Saccharomyces cerevisiae S288C: one gene and its partners. Changing the gene in region 1 together with any one later gene gives a genetic interaction. Each region holds a gene or a part of one and is shown in the gene's direction. Other genes may lie near its edges.

Region 1 (3,541 bases):
GACGGTGTCGTCTCCAAGAAAAATAACAATGTAAATTGACCCAGCGTGACGACAGTAGACTGTAAGTTATAGTACAATCATACTCTACCTTAGTCACTGTTCCTCCACTGTTAAGTAGAGAGAGAGAGAGAGTTTAAAGTGGAGAAGGCAAGAAAAAGTGCACTTATTACGTAATGGATCCCACCAAAGCACCCGATTTTAAACCGCCACAGCCAAATGAAGAACTACAACCACCGCCAGATCCAACACATACGATACCAAAATCTGGACCCATAGTTCCATATGTTTTAGCTGATTATAATTCTTCGATCGATGCTCCTTTCAATCTCGACATTTACAAAACCCTGTCGTCAAGGAAAAAAAACGCCAACTCAAGCAACCGAATGGACCATATTCCATTAAATACTAGTGACTTCCAGCCACTATCTCGGGATGTATCATCGGAGGAGGAAAGTGAAGGGCAATCGAATGGAATTGACGCTACTCTACAGGATGTTACGATGACTGGGAATTTGGGGGTACTGAAGAGCCAAATTGCTGATTTGGAAGAAGTTCCTCACACAATTGTAAGACAAGCCAGAACTATTGAAGATTACGAATTTCCTGTACACAGATTGACGAAAAAGTTACAAGATCCTGAAAAACTGCCTCTGATCATCGTTGCTTGTGGATCATTTTCTCCCATAACATACCTACATTTGAGAATGTTTGAAATGGCTTTAGATGATATCAATGAGCAAACGCGTTTTGAAGTGGTTGGTGGTTATTTTTCTCCAGTAAGTGATAACTATCAAAAGCGAGGGTTAGCCCCAGCTTATCATCGTGTCCGCATGTGCGAATTAGCATGCGAGCGGACATCATCTTGGTTAATGGTTGATGCCTGGGAATCTTTACAATCAAGTTATACAAGGACAGCAAAAGTCTTGGACCATTTCAATCATGAAATAAATATCAAGAGAGGTGGAATCATGACTGTAGATGGTGAAAAAATGGGCGTAAAAATCATGTTATTGGCAGGCGGTGATCTTATCGAATCCATGGGCGAGCCTCATGTGTGGGCTGATTCAGACCTGCACCATATTTTGGGTAATTATGGATGTTTGATCGTGGAAAGGACTGGTTCTGATGTTAGGTCCTTCTTGCTTTCCCATGATATCATGTATGAACACAGAAGAAATATCCTTATTATCAAACAACTTATTTACAATGATATTTCCTCTACGAAAGTGCGGCTTTTCATCAGACGTGGAATGTCAGTTCAATATCTTCTTCCAAACTCTGTCATCCGTTACATCCAAGAGTATAATCTATACATTAATCAAAGTGAACCGGTCAAGCAGGTCTTGGATAGCAAAGAGTGAGTTTATTACAACTCTGATACTGCAGCAGTTCAAATTTACCACTTTCCTCTTCAAGGTGCATAGAAAAAAAGTTCCTGGATGCACGATTTAAAATGTTTACAGCAGAGCAACAATCATGTGAACAATGTCAAACATTTATTTTAACACTTAATAATTATAATATAACCACACCAGCGGTAAGTTTCATAAGGAAAACCTTTCAGACAAACATTCCAGTGAATCGTATACGTAAATCAGCAAAATTAGCTTATAAAATACAGAATCCGAAGATACTTGATCTACTCGCGTTACTATTAATGCGGGTAATGATCTATATTGAATTTTGCACGTCTATAGTAACTTAAAAGTCTTGTAATATTTGAAGTAACAATGCCGTATAATACTGCATAATAGCCCTATCAATCGGAATATACCAAAACATCCTTTATGTCCTGTTCTCAAAATAAGACTTCTGTCAGTCTGGCCTGGCGTGAATGCATATCCATCGCTTCCGTCCTAATTGGCGCGTATGCATCATACAAATACTATAAGCTGTTCAAAACACGCGATATTCCACGTCCAAAAGAAGGCGTTGAAGAACTCATAGGAAACACTCCTCTGGTTAAGATCAGATCTCTTACCAAGGCTACTGGAGTTAACATTTACGCTAAGTTGGAGTTATGCAACCCAGCAGGAAGTGCTAAGGATAGAGTGGCTTTAAACATCATAAAGACGGCTGAGGAATTAGGCGAGCTCGTCAGAGGTGAACCTGGCTGGGTATTTGAAGGAACAAGTGGGTCGACTGGTATCTCTATAGCAGTGGTCTGTAATGCGTTGGGTTATAGGGCACACATTTCTTTGCCCGATGACACATCGCTAGAAAAATTGGCATTACTAGAAAGCCTCGGTGCTACTGTTAATAAGGTTAAGCCCGCTAGTATTGTCGATCCAAACCAATACGTAAATGCCGCCAAAAAGGCATGTAATGAACTAAAGAAGAGTGGTAATGGAATAAGAGCAGTTTTTGCCGATCAGTTCGAAAACGAAGCCAACTGGAAAGTACATTACCAGACCACAGGCCCAGAAATTGCCCATCAAACTAAGGGAAATATTGACGCATTCATTGCTGGCTGCGGTACTGGTGGCACCATAACTGGTGTGGCAAAATTCTTAAAGGAAAGAGCAAAGATACCTTGCCATGTCGTTCTAGCGGATCCACAAGGATCTGGCTTTTATAATAGAGTCAACTATGGCGTGATGTATGACTATGTAGAGAAGGAAGGTACTAGAAGAAGGCATCAAGTTGACACTATCGTAGAAGGGATTGGGTTAAACAGAATCACTCATAATTTTCATATGGGCGAAAAGTTTATTGATGAATCAATACGAGTCAACGATAATCAAGCCATTAGAATGGCAAAATACCTATCGGTAAACGACGGGCTATTCGTGGGGAGTAGTACAGCTATTAATGCGGTAGCCGCTATTCAGGTTGCAAAAACGCTTCCTCACGGCTCAAACATTGTGATTATTGCATGCGACAGCGGTTCAAGACACCTAAGTAAATTCTGGAAAGAAGCTAAAGAAATCGATCACGACGTGTCATTAGAAGAAGTAATAAATATCTAACATAGATGTATAAATCAGTACTGAGTTATCTTCTATTAAATTGTAGGAACAAATATAAAAAAGCAGTTTTCGCTGCTACATTTTTTGCTACTTTCCGTGGTAATGATGCCCGCTAAAAAGTGCAAAAGTAATTAGATAGATCAAGAACAAAAACAGACCAGGACCAAAATCAAGCTCATAAAAGTTCCTTAAGAGTACGTCGATTTACAGAACATGAGGGATATTGTATTTGTATCACCGCAGCTGTATTTGTCATCACAGGAGGGTTGGAAAAGTGATTCTGCCAAAAGTGGGTTCATCCCTATCCTCAAAAATGATCTACAACGTTTTCAGGACTCATTAAAACATATAGTTGACGCCAGAAACAGCTTATCAGAGACACTGCTAAATAGCAACGATGATGGGAGTATACACAATTCTGACCAGAATACTGGTTTGAATAAAGACAAAGAGGCTTCAATAGCAGATAACAATAGTGCTAACAAGTGCGCCACAAGCTCTTCCCGTTACCAAGAGCTCAAACAATTTCTTCCCATTTCCTTAGACCAACAGATTCATACAGTATCTTTACA
Region 2 (2,750 bases), 330 kb from region 1:
GGTCAAAGATGGTAATGACAAGGTCTTGGAAGACAGCACTATTCACATCAAGGATTACGAAGATGATGAAAGAGAAAGGGGTGTTGCTTTTGTTCATGGTAGATTCTTGAACAACTTGAGAAACATTACTGCTCAAGAGCCAAATGTTACTAGAGTGCAAGGTAACTGTATTGAGATATTGAAGGATGAAAAGAATGAGGTTGTTGGTGCCAAGGTTGACATTGATGGCCGTGGCAAGGTGGAATTCAAAGCCCACTTGACATTTATCTGTGACGGTATCTTTTCACGTTTCAGAAAGGAATTGCACCCAGACCATGTTCCAACTGTCGGTTCTTCGTTTGTCGGTATGTCTTTGTTCAATGCTAAGAATCCTGCTCCTATGCACGGTCACGTTATTCTTGGTAGTGATCATATGCCAATCTTGGTTTACCAAATCAGTCCAGAAGAAACAAGAATCCTTTGTGCTTACAACTCTCCAAAGGTCCCAGCTGATATCAAGAGTTGGATGATTAAGGATGTCCAACCTTTCATTCCAAAGAGTCTACGTCCTTCATTTGATGAAGCCGTCAGCCAAGGTAAATTTAGAGCTATGCCAAACTCCTACTTGCCAGCTAGACAAAACGACGTCACTGGTATGTGTGTTATCGGTGACGCTCTAAATATGAGACATCCATTGACTGGTGGTGGTATGACTGTCGGTTTGCATGATGTTGTCTTGTTGATTAAGAAAATAGGTGACCTAGACTTCAGCGACCGTGAAAAGGTTTTGGATGAATTACTAGACTACCATTTCGAAAGAAAGAGTTACGATTCCGTTATTAACGTTTTGTCAGTGGCTTTGTATTCTTTGTTCGCTGCTGACAGCGATAACTTGAAGGCATTACAAAAAGGTTGTTTCAAATATTTCCAAAGAGGTGGCGATTGTGTCAACAAACCCGTTGAATTTCTGTCTGGTGTCTTGCCAAAGCCTTTGCAATTGACCAGGGTTTTCTTCGCTGTCGCTTTTTACACCATTTACTTGAACATGGAAGAACGTGGTTTCTTGGGATTACCAATGGCTTTATTGGAAGGTATTATGATTTTGATCACAGCTATTAGAGTATTCACCCCATTTTTGTTTGGTGAGTTGATTGGTTAACTACAGCTTATAAGGGAGAGAGGATAGGAACCGTCAAACATTAAGCTGCACCTTTTTTTTTTATTACAGAAGTCGGCTTGGAAGGCTTGTATAGTACATTACGATAAACACATCTTATTTTTATTTATTACTTATTTATTTTACATATTTTCAAAAAAATTCACATATCATTTATTATTAACCGAAGTGTTTTATACTTTTTGTTCTTTCCTTAAAAATGCCTCCAACAGAAAAGGAAAAATGGCTTGATATGCTTCAAAATATGCATTGAGATTCATATTCGGTTATCAATTAACGATATTACTTCCTTAAGTGATATTAAATCAAGCTTGCCGGATTCTGCAGTCAGAATTATACATAATAGTATTTGTGCTCTCGTAAATCCTTTCAGAATTACACCATAGTAGTCTTTGTGAATGTTCTACTTATTAGAATAGATTATTGCTAGTTTATCTCACTTTTCATTCCCCATATCCCTTTTTTTGCTCATCCCCCGGGGTATTTTATCAAGATAAAATTTTATATACATGCAGTGCGCGATAACTCCTAGAGAGGCAGTAATAGCAAAACAAAGACAGTATAAGCATTATTTGGGTATGGAAAGACCATTGTGGGTACGTTGGTTGAAAGTCTATGCAATTGGTGGCGCTATTATTGGAAGCGGGTTTCTGCTTTTCAAGTACACAACGCCAACAGATCAACAGTTAATCAGCCAGCTTTCCCCAGAATTACGTTTACAATATGAGAGGGAGAAAAAACTACGTCAGTCGGAGCAGCAGGCTTTGATGAAAATTGTTAAGGAAACTTCTCAAAGTGACGATCCAATTTGGAAGACGGGCCCCCTTCAATCACCTTGGGAAAGGAACGGTGATAACGTTCAAAGCAGAGATCACTTTGCTAAGGTGAGGGCGGAGGAGGTGCAAAAAGAAGAGTTGGCTAGGATCAGAAATGAACTGTCTCAGCTAAGATCTGAAACGGAGGAGAAAACAAAGGAAATAGTCCAGGATAAGCAGGTTAAAAGCTGGTGGCGCTTCTGGTAGATGGGTCGGGTCACTCAATTAGGAAGGGCAGCTTGAACTTTTGCATCCTAAAACATACGTCTGTGTCATTTATGATATATTATTTATTTGTACACTGTAAATAGGTTTAAAAATATAACTTCATACTTATTTTTAGCTATTTTAGTTCCCATACTTGGGGATGGAAAAAACATTGCGCAAGCCCGGAATCGAACCGGGGGCCCAACGATGGCAACGTTGGATTTTACCACTAAACCACTTGCGCTTGTTATTTATATGAGATTATTGCATCATGCAATGGGGTAATGTCAAGGTTCTTGACAATCCTAATATAAACAGTCTTAGGGAAGTAACCAGTTGTCAAAACGGTTTATCAGCTTGATTCACGGGATCTTACTTATCCTATATATTATATAAAATATGGATCATACTAAATGGTGGAAGCGCGGAATCTTGGATCTAAACCAATTGTTCAGATACTTATACGTTAGAGTAGGTTAGCTAAGGAAGGCAGAGTTTTATTTTCATGTTGCTCATTCTGTTCGTTTTGCTGTAAGGTTGTTTCATATGTGTTTTATGAACGTTTAGGATGA
Region 3 (3,677 bases), on another chromosome or scaffold:
CTTTTAACCTCACAATATCAGTCCCATTCAATCCTGCTATGTTCTTGCTGGCTGAAGACGTTTTAGGGACTTCTTTGCAATTATCATTATCATCAGTTAGAATTACAAATATCCTGTCAAGGATGAAGAAGAGTTTGAATAATTTGGATAAAGTGTCATTAATCTCTGAGTCTTCCATATTTTTGAATGTAAATTTTTCAACGTAATCGATGAGATCGTCCGCAATTTTTATTAAATAGGACCCTTGACCAAAATAACTAGAATATCCGCATGTATCTTTTGGGTTTCGGGAATCTGGGCAATGTCTCTTTTCTTCTGATTGAAGTAAATAGTCTGAGTTTGGAACATGGGCAATAGAATACCAAACGAAGTCAACTAAAGTTTTTAAATCCTGCAGCAGCGGAGTAAGACTGGCATAGCCGTTTTTGATATTCAGGCCCCTGGATTGAACAAATTTTCTTTGAATTTGTAAAAGCTGATCATCAACGTAAGAGATGAATTTGGATTGTTGAGACATTGACAATCTTCTCGGGTGTGACGTTCCATTGTGATCATTTGGCAATAATTCACTCAGCTTTGTGGCAGACGAAAAGGGAGAAGACACGTTTATTCTAGGCTGGAAATCGTCAACATCATCGAGCATAGTTACGTCGTTGATTGTGTTGTTAGTTTCATTGTAAACATCATTGAATTCTGGTGTATGATATCTTCTTTTCTTATTACAATTACGCTGCCATATAACGTTGTCTATGTTAGAATTTACGACATCACCTGAGTCTGCACTAATTTCTACATCTGAGTTTGGATCCAAGTTTAAATCATCAATGTCTTTTTCATCTAGATCATTTAAGTTGTTCAAGTCCAGTTGCTCATTCGGTTGAGCATGTAATGGTGTGTTTGGCTCAGACATCAAAATACTGTGTTGAAATCTTTTATTTTTATAATATTTCTTTCCTTACCAGGGCTTGGAGTCTCTACAACAGTTAGCTTACTGTTTATTCTGCCACATTTCCACCCTTTTGTGGGGCTTCTATTTCAAGGACCTTCATTATGGAAACAGGGCGAGGTTGTTTGTTCTTCCTGCATGTTGCGCGCAGTGCGTAAGAAAGCGGGACGTAAGCAGTTTAGCCATTCTAAAAGGGGCATTATCAGAATAAGAAGGCCCTATGAGGTATGATTGTAAAGCAAGTGGTGTAAAATTGTGTGCTACCTACCGTATTAGTAGGAACAATTATGCAAGAGGGGTCCTGTGCAAATAAAAAATATATATCTAGAAAAAGAGTAGGTAGGTCCTTCACAATATTGACTGATAGCGATCTCCTCACTATTTTTCACTTATATGCAGTATATTTGTCTGCTTATCTTTCATTAAGTGGAATCATTTGTAGTTTATTCCTACTTTATGGGTATTTTCCAATCATAAAGCATACCGTGGTAATTTAGCCGGGGAAAAGAAGAATGATGGCGGCTAAATTTCGGCGGCTATTTCATTCATTCAAGTATAAAAGGGAGAGGTTTGACTAATTTTTTACTTGAGCTCCTTCTGGAGTGCTCTTGTACGTTTCAAATTTTATTAAGGACCAAATATACAACAGAAAGAAGAAGAGCGGAATGAGACCGTTGTATAGCTGCAACCTTGCAACCAAAGATGATATTGAGATGGCAGGTGGCGTAGCTCCTGCTCACCTGGAAGTTAATGTAGGCGGCTATAATACAGAGCAGACAATACCTATAGTAAAGCATCAGCTCGTGAAAGTTGGGAGAAATGATAAGGAATGTCAACTCGTTCTAACGAATCCCTCTATCTCCTCTGTTCATTGCGTGTTTTGGTGTGTCTTTTTTGATGAGGATAGTATTCCAATGTTCTACGTTAAAGATTGTTCTCTTAATGGAACGTATTTGAACGGTTTGCTTTTGAAAAGGGACAAAACGTATCTTTTAAAACATTGCGACGTTATTGAATTATCGCAGGGAAGTGAAGAAAATGACATTAAAAAAACACGACTAGTTTTTATGATTAATGATGATTTACAATCTTCTCTGGACCCAAAACTTTTAGATCAAATGGGTTTTCTGAGGGAAGTAGACCAATGGGAAATAACAAATAGAATAGTGGGTAATGGCACTTTCGGTCATGTTCTGATCACGCATAACTCAAAAGAACGTGATGAAGATGTCTGTTATCACCCTGAAAATTATGCTGTGAAGATCATTAAACTAAAACCAAATAAATTCGATAAAGAGGCTCGAATCCTTTTGAGACTGGATCACCCAAATATTATCAAAGTCTACCATACTTTCTGTGACAGGAACAATCACCTTTACATATTCCAGGATCTTATCCCTGGTGGTGATTTGTTTTCTTACCTAGCTAAAGGCGACTGTCTAACTTCCATGTCAGAAACTGAATCGCTATTGATCGTCTTTCAAATTTTGCAAGCTTTAAACTACCTTCATGATCAAGACATTGTTCACCGCGATTTGAAACTAGACAATATTTTGTTATGTACGCCAGAACCGTGCACTAGAATCGTCTTGGCAGACTTTGGTATAGCTAAAGATTTAAATTCCAACAAAGAAAGAATGCATACTGTCGTAGGCACTCCGGAATACTGCGCTCCAGAAGTTGGATTCAGAGCAAACAGAAAAGCATATCAAAGCTTCTCAAGAGCAGCTACGTTAGAGCAACGAGGTTATGACAGTAAATGTGATCTTTGGTCTTTGGGTGTCATTACACACATTATGTTAACAGGGATCTCGCCTTTTTATGGAGATGGTTCTGAGAGGAGTATTATTCAAAATGCAAAAATTGGGAAGCTGAATTTCAAACTGAAGCAGTGGGATATTGTTTCAGATAATGCCAAGAGTTTTGTCAAAGACCTTTTGCAAACTGACGTAGTTAAACGATTAAATAGTAAGCAAGGTCTCAAACATATTTGGATTGCAAAACACTTAAGTCAATTAGAGAGATTATATTACAAAAAGATATTGTGCAATAACGAAGGCCCTAAACTAGAAAGTATAAATTCAGACTGGAAAAGGAAGTTACCCAAAAGTGTTATCATTTCTCAGGCAATACCGAAAAAGAAGAAGGTTTTGGAGTAATCATAGGATTATCTCTTCCTCTTTCAAACTGCGCGTAGTTCAAAATAAAAAGGTATCTGTGTAAAAAAAAAAAAGTAAGTCAATTGTATGATTTTTAAGTAAAAGTTGCCCTTTTCTACTAGAAACGGCGAGAAAAAATGATAGTAGTGTGCCAAGAAGAATATGAAGTTACTTTTTAAAAGATATTCGTCTAGTCATATTGGTAAGCTGATTAAGGACTCTTTAATCACTCCTGAAATACTACCACAGCTAGGGCGACAGCCATCATCGCATAAACGTTTACCAAATAACAAAAGAACTAACTCAATAACTGATAAATGGTTGAAGGATGCGCTAACAAGAAAAGATAAACTGAATGAAGATAAGCTCCAAAATGTAAATTTACGATTAAATGTGGTACTGACTACTCTACAGAAGCTTCGTACATCCGATAATCCTGCTTTGTATTTTGCGTTGTTGAATCGTATTGGCACAGGTCACATAAAATGGCTAAATAAAAGTGGCCGACAGATTGATGCATTCCCACCTGATCGGCTGCCTTTGGAATTTTATCATGAGCTATCTAATATGCT

What was found.
Region 2: mutations in MCY1 (region 1) and CBP4 together harm fitness more than expected from each alone (negative genetic interaction), as found in Saccharomyces cerevisiae (2 studies listed by BioGRID).
Region 3: mutations in MCY1 (region 1) and MEK1 together harm fitness more than expected from each alone (negative genetic interaction), as found in Saccharomyces cerevisiae (3 studies listed by BioGRID).

Annotation. Positions count from the first base shown.
Region 1 is NC_001139.9:511,372-514,912, forward strand, and holds MCY1 (putative cysteine synthase), read left to right. Parts: upstream 1-1,787; coding exon 1,788-2,969; downstream 2,970-3,541. Other genes in the region: nicotinamide-nucleotide adenylyltransferase NMA2, read left to right, coding at 174-1,361; SNU71 (Snu71p), read left to right, coding at 3,183-3,541. UniProt on the Saccharomyces cerevisiae protein: Putative cysteine synthase that catalyzes the conversion of O-acetyl-L-serine (OAS) into cysteine, the last step in the cysteine biosynthesis pathway. However, this CS-like protein is unlikely to function in cysteine biosynthesis.
Region 2 is NC_001139.9:845,321-848,070, reverse strand, and holds CBP4 (Cbp4p), read left to right. Parts: upstream 1-1,665; coding exon 1,666-2,178; downstream 2,179-2,750. Other genes in the region: ERG1 (squalene monooxygenase), read left to right, coding at 1-1,138; YGR174W-A (uncharacterized protein), read right to left, coding at 1,330-1,416.
Region 3 is NC_001147.6:994,446-998,122, reverse strand, and holds MEK1 (serine/threonine protein kinase MEK1), read left to right. Parts: upstream 1-1,611; coding exon 1,612-3,105; downstream 3,106-3,677. Other genes in the region: TFIIH complex subunit TFB6, read right to left, coding at 1-910; MNE1 (Mne1p), read left to right, coding at 3,268-3,677. UniProt on the Saccharomyces cerevisiae protein: Probable protein kinase required for meiotic recombination.